Linked DNA regions of Arabidopsis thaliana. The protein of the gene in region 2 interacts with the protein of the main gene of each other region in a pairwise test. Each region holds a gene or a part of one and is shown on either strand. Other genes may lie near its edges. The genes, in order: WRKY51, CAMBP25 and WRKY33.

What was found.
Region 1: the proteins of CAMBP25 (region 2) and WRKY51 interact in a two-hybrid assay, tested with the Arabidopsis thaliana proteins (one study listed by BioGRID).
Region 3: the proteins of CAMBP25 (region 2) and WRKY33 interact in a two-hybrid assay, tested with the Arabidopsis thaliana proteins (one study listed by BioGRID).

What each region holds. Positions count from the first base shown.
Region 1 is NC_003076.8:25,906,123-25,909,882, forward strand, and holds WRKY51 (WRKY DNA-binding protein 51), read left to right. Parts: upstream 1-2,124; 5' UTR 2,125-2,292; coding exon 2,293-2,534; intron 2,535-2,641; coding exon 2,642-2,788; intron 2,789-3,369; coding exon 3,370-3,565; 3' UTR 3,566-3,759; downstream 3,760-3,760. Other genes in the region: CLE21 (CLAVATA3/ESR-RELATED 21), read left to right, coding at 1-281. UniProt on the Arabidopsis thaliana protein: Transcription factor. Interacts specifically with the W box (5'-(T)TGAC[CT]-3'), a frequently occurring elicitor-responsive cis-acting element. Involved in defense responses.
Region 2 is NC_003071.7:17,113,422-17,117,181, forward strand, and holds CAMBP25 (calmodulin (CAM)-binding protein of 25 kDa), read right to left. Parts: upstream 1,627-3,760; 5' UTR 1,311-1,626; coding exon 594-1,310; 3' UTR 377-593; downstream 1-376. UniProt on the Arabidopsis thaliana protein: Calmodulin-binding protein that functions as a negative regulator of osmotic stress tolerance.
Region 3 is NC_003071.7:16,106,516-16,110,275, forward strand, and holds the start of WRKY33 (WRKY DNA-binding protein 33), read left to right. Parts: upstream 1-1,719; 5' UTR 1,720-1,960; coding exon 1,961-2,203; exon of another isoform or gene 2,204-2,452; coding exon 2,453-2,659; intron 2,660-2,728; coding exon 2,729-3,261; intron 3,262-3,351; coding exon 3,352-3,513; intron 3,514-3,609; coding exon 3,610-3,760. Other genes in the region: AT2G38465 (uncharacterized protein), read right to left, coding at 1-3, 167-295.

The DNA.
Region 1 (3,760 bases), on a different chromosome or scaffold from region 2:
TTTTAATCATTGTAATCTTTACAGTGTTAGTATTAATCATTATCTCCCGTTCAAGTTCGATCCAAGCTGGAAGATTCATGACTACAGGAAGAAATCGTAATTTGAGCGTTGCTCGATCACTATACTACAAGAATCATCACAAGGTTGTGATCACGGAGATGTCAAATTTTAATAAAGTTAGACGAAGATCGTCTAGATTTCGGAGAAAGACGGACGGCGACGAGGAAGAAGAAGAGAAACGATCTATCCCCACAGGTCCAAATCCTTTGCACAACAAGTAGAGTACTGACTACTGAGAAAGATGCAACATACTTCGACTTCGTAAATTGTTCGTTTGGTGTATATATGTATCGTTATAAGTTAGTTTACTTTTCAAGATTAATAGTCTTTAATTAGGTTGGGTTGGAAACTCTAAAATAGTATGAGATAAATTTCAATTGTTTCTAGCATTTAAATTTTGTATGCTCAAAGTTGCTGGAACGATATGGCAAACAGAAATAATGGAATCGAAAAAATATCGTGATATGTTAGAATAAACTGAGTAAAAGTACGTTTTTGTGAATTTTCTTTTGTCATTGTAATTTGTTTTAACAAAATACAGTATTATTCTTTTTTACGTACTAATAAGGTATATTGTTGTATATATAAAGGTCAGTAACTTGTAACTCATCTTTTTTTTTTGTTTTTTTTTCTGTTTTAGCTGATAGGTGGTTGGTGTTCATTAATAAATGTCCATATATCACTTTCAAAGCAATTCACTAAAATATAGATATGTAATTATTTTTTATTTTTTCAGATTTTCCCCTTGAAAAAGGGGTTCTTTCAATTAGAACCCCACACTAACACACTCCTTCACTTTTGGCCAGCCGCCCTTCTTTTTCAGTCTTTCAGTTTATATTTTAGCCTCTTTTTTAAAAAATACTATATTTTATTGCTTTTTCTTCTTCTTAATTACTTTAGTTAATCATAGTTAAAACACATTTTTTTGTGCAAACGTTTAAGTTTTAACACTATCTGATTTTAAACTTTTAATCATTTGCATGTAAAATCACTCAAATAGGTAATATTTATATGATTCCAGTCATGTGTTTCTTAAAAACAGAGCCACACTACATGTTTCTGTGTTTATTCTCAGTTAATTAGTTTTTATGTTTGTTTTAACACAATACAGAGAGAATATTATTGTAGTTACAAAAACAATTAAGAGTGGCACCAAGAAATTTCGTCTTACCTTTTAAGACAAGATTAAAAGACCACTTTGAAATTTTGAATCGTTGACTTAAGAATAGACTTAGCAAAAAAACTTGGTCATACATATATGATATATGTGTGGGTCAACGATTCATATATGTATGATGATACATTGCAATGTGCCAAAACTTCTGGAAGAACAAAAAACGACTAATAAGAAAAAATAAAATATATAAAATGTTGCCAACATTAAAAAACGCATTTGCTGTTTCCCATCAATATTGGAGTATAGTTTATATAAGATTTTTAACAATATTATAAGCTAGTTAATTAATAGAGTTAATCTTTGGTAAAAAAACAGACGGAATTTTATAACTTTCGAAATCATATTGATCTGCATATATATATATATATATATATATATATATATATGTGGATTCACCAGACCAGATGAGATAACCATTTTGAAGGATTTGCTAAATAAAAGTTAGGCCAAAAAGAAATCAATAAAGTTTGTGACAATATCTTTAATAGTATAATTTACATTTACATAATTCAATAAGTCAAATCTTATTGTGTCTTGGTGTGCACTGTAAAGTAAAGTCCTGTCTGCTTCAAACGCAGCATAAGCAAACTTACAACTTAAATCCTCAGCCGTTGATCCAAAGACCAAAATCCAATTATCAACGTTACCTAATGTAGACGATAAAATCTCTTAAAATGGGCCCGTAAAGCCCAAGCAAAAAAACAATTACTTTAAGTGGAAGCTCACTTTTCGCCACCCTTATTAACGTCTGTCCATACGTCATAACAGATGACGTCATCATCATATTCCTTTTTTCACACGTGGCATTGAAGCACCTTCCTAGTATCTACCCTGAAATTGCTTGACATAAGTAGTAGTTGTTTAATAATCTTTATCTCTTAATTATCCTCTTTTCTTAACAAAAACTTGTTACAATAATTTTCATTTTTATATAAATAACTGACCATTATAACTCTTTCTCTTCTCTTCTTCACTTGCTCTAGTTCTTGGATGCTTTAAACCTCTCTCTCTCTCTCTCTCAATTATTTTTTTTTCTATTTCAAAAACAAAAAAAAATGAATATCTCTCAAAACCCTAGCCCTAATTTTACGTACTTCTCCGATGAAAACTTTATTAATCCGTTTATGGATAACAACGATTTCTCAAATTTGATGTTCTTTGACATAGATGAAGGAGGTAACAATGGATTAATCGAGGAAGAGATCTCATCTCCGACAAGCATCGTTTCGTCGGAGACATTTACCGGGGAAAGCGGCGGATCCGGCAGCGCAACAACGTTGAGTAAAAAGGAATCAACGTGAGTTCCTTTTTAATTATTATTGTTGGCAAGATTCTTAACCAAGCAATTAGTATTTCATTATATATAGTTTTATTCATTAATCTTTTTGATAATAAATATTGTAGTAATAGAGGAAGTAAAGAGAGTGATCAGACGAAGGAGACGGGTCATCGAGTTGCATTTAGAACGAGATCGAAGATTGATGTGATGGATGATGGTTTTAAATGGAGGAAGTATGGCAAGAAATCTGTCAAAAACAACATTAACAAGAGGTAACTTATTCATTTACAAATTACTCATTTGATCTAATTAATATGTTTTACTAGTACTTGTTTTTAACATAACATATGGTTGCTTGATAATTTTCTATAACCATCTTGTAATCCTGTTGTTATAGAATATATAGCCACTAGCTAGCTAGACCATATAGTGATTTGAATACTATTTAATGGACCCGTATTATCTACCAACCCACTTGGAATAAAATTTAGCTTCTATATACATCATGCATGTGTGTTTTGTTTATACAAATATATAAAAGGTTCCTATAGCAAAATTGATTGATTAGTGGTATATGGATCAATGAATCCATGGTTGATAATCAGTCATCGTATAGATTTATTTTGACTCATATATCATAAGAGAAACAAATATAATGAATTCATCATCTAAACATATCACTTTCATTCAAAGCATGGTTTGAAAGCAATTTACACACTCTGTAATTGGTTAATGATATTCTTATATATATACATACATATATATATATATATATATATATATATAACTTGGTGCGATATATTATAAAAGTGATTACAATTTAACATGTGGTGGATGAATTTATAATATAAAGGAATTACTACAAATGCTCAAGTGAAGGTTGCTCGGTGAAGAAGAGGGTAGAGAGAGATGGTGACGATGCAGCTTATGTAATTACAACATATGAAGGAGTCCATAACCATGAGAGTCTCTCTAATGTCTATTACAATGAAATGGTTTTATCTTATGATCATGATAACTGGAACCAACACTCTCTTCTTCGATCTTAATCCAAATCTCTCATCCTCGTTGAGATTGTAAGATACCAACAATATTAATATTATAATCTCAATGCTTTGTATAATTTGATAGGTGTATAATAAAGGAGTTACTTATTTCGTGGTTATAAATGTTTAATGTATGTATATTGCTATGAGTACATTTTGTAGGTCACTGACTCACTAGATATAAAATCTTAAGCGTAT
Region 2 (3,760 bases):
TAATTTATCATGAAGTGTAATAGATAGGTTTTTATGTTCTTGTAACAAATATTCATCTCTCCAGATAATAATCGATTATGAGAGAAGTCCTAGTACACGCAATTGTATTTGAATGCATAATGGGCAAGCAGAGATGGGATGTTGTAATAAAACAAAAACTTATTTTGGCTTTGTATCAGTAATGGAGACATTATTGTATTAGTGGTCGTAACGTATTTGATTGTCTTAATAGAAAAGATGCTGACATGATATTTACCCTCCTCCCTTAAAAAATATATTATGATTATTATATAGTTCTTCTCTATTTTCAACGGTGAGAAGACTCCAACGCTAATGCGCATTATCAACTTTAGCTTCAGTTTCCTTTACCAACTAACCCCAACTTAGAATTTTGTATTATCTCATTCGATTAGCTGAATATTTTTAATAGATAGATTTGTGACTTATCCTCTAAATAGTTTTAAAGTCAAAAGAACTCAGATTTGATCCATTACATCGATAAACAAAAACTATGAACAAGATTATTCATGAAGGGATGCAAAGAAAACAAACCTAAAAAGTTAAAGATTACGTCTAAGACTGAAAGAAACAGATCACATAACCTTCCACGATTCAAGCGTTGGAAATGTTGGGTAATTATCAAACTCCACGGCAGAACCACCGGGGTCGGCCGTTGCACTTGGCTTCCCCGACGGTAATCCTACACTGCTGCTGTTACCGGAGAAAGCATTTCCCACTGCGAGATTCTCCTGGTGATGATTAGACAAAAATGCTGATGTGTCGAGCATTGGAACCGCCGTGGATCGATCCGAAGGACCACAAGGCAGTTTGTTAACGAACCTAAGCGGCTCCGGCTTGACAATCGGATCGAAAATACCAAAGGAAGAAGAGTCATCGATGTACTTGGCGCCAGTCACTTGCTGAACCATCTGACGAAAGTTGGACGGATCCGCCGTTATGAAAGTAGTCTGAGATTTCTTGGAAGCACGAGCGCGGCGCTTGGCGGCTTTACCGTCGGTAAGAAGGCAGTTACGTTTCCGTTTAGCTCCTCCGCCGATGATTTCTGGATCAGAAGCACCGGAGACGGTAGAGGAGAGTGTGTTAGTGGAAGAAGGGTGAGAAACAGCGGAGGAATCGAAGAAAGCAGAGGAAGGAGTGAGAGTATGAGGGGCTGTGACGGTGGTATGGAGAGCTCTTGCGAGCAAATCGTTGTCGTGAGAGAAGGTATCAGAAAGCAACCATGAATCAACGTTGAAACCTTGGCGATATAACCAAGAATCAACGCTTGCTAATCCCTCCGAAGTCACCATAACCGGTGAAGAAGATGGTCGCTGGGTTTCTGAAAGGAGAAGAAGAAGAAGTTAGAGAAAGAAAGAGAGAGGTGAGAAATGAAAAATGGGGCCGAGGAAGTTTATATAAGGACGGCGAGAAGCGATGGAAACCGCGTTGAGCGGAGATTGAAAGGGACACGTGTCACAGCTTACTCGTACGGAACTTTTATTCAGCTAACGAGTGAGAGATTATCATAAAACAAATTAGATTATTGAATTATGTCACAGATTTTTTTTTTTTTTGTTAAAGATGAATTATGTCAGACTTATACAAAATCGAATGGATAACATGTGGATAGTATGTATGTACTCTGTAACAAGCGAAAGAAATTTTTTTTTATTGCGTATATCCAATATTCAGACAATCTCCTTTGCAATATTGATTGATCCAATAAGAATATCTTCAACTTTTAGATACATCCTTTCTACGCGGTGAGACATGCAAATTAGCCCCAAAAAGAAAAAGAAAAATGAGGAAGGTCAATATCCAACGGCTGATGTTTACTTACTTAAACGCTTGTTGCTCTCAGTGGGACCAAAAGAGTTAGAGAAATAGAATCGGTCGTTTTCAGCTTCGGTCTTTCTTTTGTACCCTCCTATATCTTTCTGTATATCATACTCATAGTGGCTTTAACAAATATTTTAAACAATATATGAAGGTGATTTGCGTATTCTATTTTTTTTTTCATTTAGATAAGACGCTTACTCTAAGTTTTACATGGTGTTAAGTAAGTACAAGTTTGAGCTATAATTTTTAATACAAACCAAAATTAATAACTATGTTTAGGAGTTCAAAACTTCAAATTATATGCAATGAATTGGCTTATGTGAAGGGTCAAACAAAACAAATGTCAAAATTGATTATAACTTTATTTTAAAGACAACAAAAATGCGTTTATATGTATATTTTATCCTTTTATGACAATGATATTTTCATCCTTTTTATGGAGAAAAGTAAAAGAAAATTTTGAATATTGTTTATTTTTGTTTGCTTGTTTAAATAACACGAATATATATATATATATTCAAAATTCCAGGTAAGCCCAAAAGAACTAACTGTGTTAAATGAGTTTTTTTCAACGCGTTAATATGATTATACAGTTATAGAGTGAAGATGAACGCCATTCAAAGTAATCATAAAGACTGTTGAAATAGTTTTTTTTACAAGTTGTTTCACCACTCTCAACTGCATACAAGAAAAATGTTTTCAATAAAATGGATTTCTAGTTTAATCGACAAGTAAAACTAGATAAATGTAGTGCACACAATAGTTTTCTATATATTACAATGATTTAATTATTTTTCTTATGAAGATGATATTTTAACAGTTTACGTCTTTATAATGCCACGATAATAGCAAAATAAGTCTGCTATGGTCGAACGACGCTTAAGTAGCACATCAAAAACATAGTTTTTACAAGCCCATATATACTTTCTTCAAGTTGCAAAACATCCAACTGAATAAATGTACCAGCATACCAAAAAAATGATTCTTGAATTTCACCTGTCATATAACATTTTAAAAAGTTCACAACGCATACATGTACCACTCGCACTCAGCACACAAGATCTAAGATGTCAACTGTTGACTCACACGGTCACACCGTTTATTACGATTACTGATTTGTACGAGTCGTCGTCGTTTACAAAATGCAAAAAAACAATACCAATTCTTATATATATATAAAAGATTCAAAAATATAAAAGACAGGTGAAATAATTAATCAGATTGGTTTCCGCGACGTTTCTTTTGCATTTTAGTATTTTCGTGATATCAACTTTAGCACATTAACATTATACATTGACGAGACGACTCTCATGAGCTTCACTTGTTCATTCTTTAAAAAGACATATCTGGTACGTATATAAGAATTTGTTGGAAATTTCTATAATTTGTGGTCTTAAAGACTCAGATTAGTCAGAAAAAATAAATAAAGAAAATGTCTTTATTCTTATAGAAGAAGAACAAAGTCAAAAGCCGCCAACGGTGACGTGAGCATTTTTATACGATGTAATGATGATGGTATGATGACGAGACCGAACGGAAGCATGTGATGAAGGAAGAAGCGGTCGTGTGTGTGTGTCTTCTTCTTTCTTCTTTTCACCGAAAGCTTTTCTCTCATTACTTTATTTCCAATACATTACTGACTCTGACACTCCTCTCTTGTCTCCCATGTTTCTTCCTACTGCCTTGCTTCGGCTCTATAGCTTCTTCATTTGATCTCTTAATCCGAAAAGTAAAAATACATTGTTTTATCATTTAGTTTACATATAATTAAGTAAAGATCACAACTTGACGTTTGTTAACAATCCATTACTTCAAACTTTCCACAATAGTCTTGTAAATTTATCCCCACATGATGTCTGTTAACAATCCATTATTTCAAACTTTCCACAATAATCTTATAAACCAAGATAGAGCCAAACTT
Region 3 (3,760 bases), 1.0 Mb from region 2:
TGTCTTCCAAACCAAAATAAAAATAAAAGATTATAACAAAATGAAACTAATCAATAAGGAAATTAACGAGACACCAAATACGTCAAGTGATCATTGATTCAAGAAGACCCATGAGTCTCTGATCCGCTTGTTTCAGTGGCTCGAAACAAGACTCTTGTATACGCACCTGGCCAACAAAAAAGGCTTTGACATAGCTAAACCCTTCCTGGCATGTTACTGCCATGGATAAACAGTTAGTCTTCACTCGATCGGACAAAGACTTCGCCGGCTGTCGTGATGTCTCGGCGTCTTGCATCGCTGCTTTTTCGAGATAGATAGATTGCTTGAAACTTGAAAGCAAGACTAGGAAATATCTCACTTTCTTGTGCCAATGATGATTTTTTTTAACTATTAATGATTCTGGAAGCAACTCTTGCCACGTCTGTTTTACGTGTTAGCTGTAGAGATACCGACGTGTATTAAAGCAAGAGGCTATTTTACTTTGGGCCTTTTGGGCTTTTGGGCTGAAGAAAGAAACTGTCATCGGATCAACAAACACTGCATAGTTTGCAACTTGCACGGTAAAGCGACACAAAATCCATGACGTTTAATTTAGGTTCCACGTGAAGAACCATACCACATATCGTGCAATAAGAAACTGATCACTTTTATATACCTAAACGATTTACAATTTACACTACTATGCTTGACACGATATGTAATTTTTTTTTTTTTGCCAAAGGGTGTTGTTATTGATATTAAACATTGTACAATACAACGTACATAGACTGTTTATATAAAACAAGGACGTCTAGATAAAAAAAGCAAATAACAAATATTACAAGACTAGTTAAGGAAACAACAAACTGAGTAAGGTTTTATGTACAAAACAGAGACGACTACCAAAGAAGAGGGCCAGACGTGGTAGCAGTGATGGAAGACAAACATCCTGACATCTCAATAAGAACATTTATGGCTACTTCAAATACATATATACACAATATGTAATTCTCTTATTACATTTATGGCTACTTCAAATACATATATACAAAAAAAAAAGGCCTACCTTCGACAGAAGTTATACCAATTTATTGATCGGAAGCTACAAAATGTTATCTAGGGTCAATTTGTAGCCTATCTCTATATCAAAACCGATACGGATACAAAATAGTTTGATAATCATAGAATTTAACATTCTAATAAATATTTGTTTCTAGTATTCTTTAAATGAATAATCTTGTGTTCAATTAGTCTATTCATAGTAGAATTAAGTCTCCTAAAAAATAGATTGAAACCAAAAACAGCCGCACATGGATTTAATATCGACTTTAGTTAGGAGGTTTTGCTAAAAATAGTAAAATACTCACAAACTCACTTCTAAATACTAATCTTTTACACTCATGTCATGTGCTTTAAAGATATGAGAGAACCTTTCCTAGTACACCTACAGTCAAAATTTTCAAGATTCCGAAATTTTCTAGGTTTTTTGAGCAAGAGCCAAGAATCCCAAATGTTTGAATTTGTATTTTTGATCCAAAAATACTACAACATCGTATAAAGAATAAATCATACGTGTCAGAACGAGACATATGAAGATGATGAAAGCATTGAGCCGCCCCTCAAAAAATCCGTTCAACGTTTGAGAGTCAAGGCCACAAGGTCTGACCAATCTATCTCTTCTCCTTCTTCTTCTAATCATATTTTCAACGGTCAAACTTTTTATCACCTTCTCAGAAACTACTCTTCTTCATATGTGACCCTAAAAATAAAAACGAACAATTAAACAAAATTTTAAAATAATATAATATTCACCAATCAGACGTGCAATATGTTTTATATATTCAGACATAACCAACAAATATACAGAAACAAGAAGAAGAACAAGAACCATCACTTCTCTCATTTTCTTCTTCTCCAAGCCCCCCTCCTTTCTATATATATCTGAAATTGGTCTTTTATAAAACAAACTTCCATTTTTCGTATGGCTGCTTCTTTTCTTACAATGGACAATAGCAGAACCAGACAAAACATGAATGGTTCTGCTAATTGGTCACAACAATCCGGAAGAACATCTACTTCCTCTTTGGAAGATCTTGAGATACCAAAGTTCAGATCTTTTGCTCCTTCTTCAATCTCTATCTCTCCTTCTCTTGTCTCTCCTTCCACTTGTTTCAGTCCCTCTCTTTTTCTCGATTCCCCTGCTTTTGTCTCCTCCTCTGCTAACGTAAGCCTCTCTGTTTTTTTTCTCTGTTTCTTTTGAAATGAATCCAATTAGTGATGATAATCTGTGTTTGATGTATCATTGATTTAACATCTTGACAATGAATCGTGATCGGAAGTGATAAAGTTATGGGTCAACGGTTTCAAAGAGAGAGAAAGACTTTTAGAGTCAACTCTCGACTCTTTCTTAATTATGTTATTGCTATTTGTCTCTTTTCTTGAAGTCTGAACAATTCTTGGGATTGTTTTGCAGGTTCTAGCTTCTCCAACCACAGGAGCTTTAATCACAAACGTAACTAACCAGAAAGGTATAAATGAAGGAGACAAGAGCAACAACAACAACTTTAACTTATTCGATTTCTCATTCCACACACAATCATCAGGAGTTTCTGCTCCGACCACAACTACAACTACAACTACAACTACAACAACAACAAACAGTTCTATCTTTCAATCTCAGGTATGTACTTCATCAACAGCTCAAATCCTCTGTTTATGAGTTTTTCTATAACTTTGTTTTGAGTTTCAGGAACAACAGAAGAAGAACCAGTCAGAACAATGGAGCCAAACCGAGACTCGTCCAAACAATCAAGCTGTATCTTACAATGGAAGAGAGCAAAGGAAAGGAGAGGATGGTTACAATTGGAGAAAGTACGGACAAAAACAGGTGAAAGGAAGTGAGAATCCTCGGAGTTACTATAAGTGTACTTTCCCTAATTGTCCAACGAAGAAGAAAGTGGAGAGATCTTTGGAAGGTCAGATCACAGAGATTGTGTATAAAGGAAGCCACAACCATCCTAAACCTCAGTCTACTAGAAGATCTTCTTCGTCTTCTTCGACTTTTCATTCAGCTGTGTACAATGCCAGTTTGGATCATAATCGTCAAGCTTCTTCTGATCAGCCTAATTCCAATAATAGCTTTCATCAGTCTGATTCCTTTGGGATGCAACAAGAGGATAATACTACTTCTGATTCTGTTGGTGACGATGAGTTCGAACAAGGCTCATCGATTGTCAGCAGAGACGAAGAAGATTGTGGGAGTGAACCTGAAGCAAAGAGATGGTACAGATCATCATCACCCTCCAAATTTGCTACTCTTTGAACAATCTTGAATATGAAAGTTCTAAAATGTATGTTTTTTTGTGTTTTCAGGAAAGGGGACAATGAAACAAATGGTGGGAATGGTGGTGGAAGCAAGACAGTGAGAGAGCCGAGAATCGTAGTGCAGACAACGAGTGATATTGACATTCTTGACGACGGTTACAGATGGAGAAAATACGGCCAGAAAGTCGTTAAGGGAAACCCAAATCCAAGGTAATAACATAAACAATTGTGCATCTCAATAACTCAGAATTAAGGTTCTTGAGAATCTGACCTTTTGTTTTCTTTTCATTTGCTGAATCTTAACAGAAGCTACTACAAGTGCACAACCATCGGTTGTCCAGTGAGGAAACATGTGGAGAGAGCATCACACGACATGAGAGCAGTAATCACAACCTACGAAGGGAAACACAACCACGATGTTCCTGCAGCTCGTGGTAGCGGTTACGCCACAAACAGA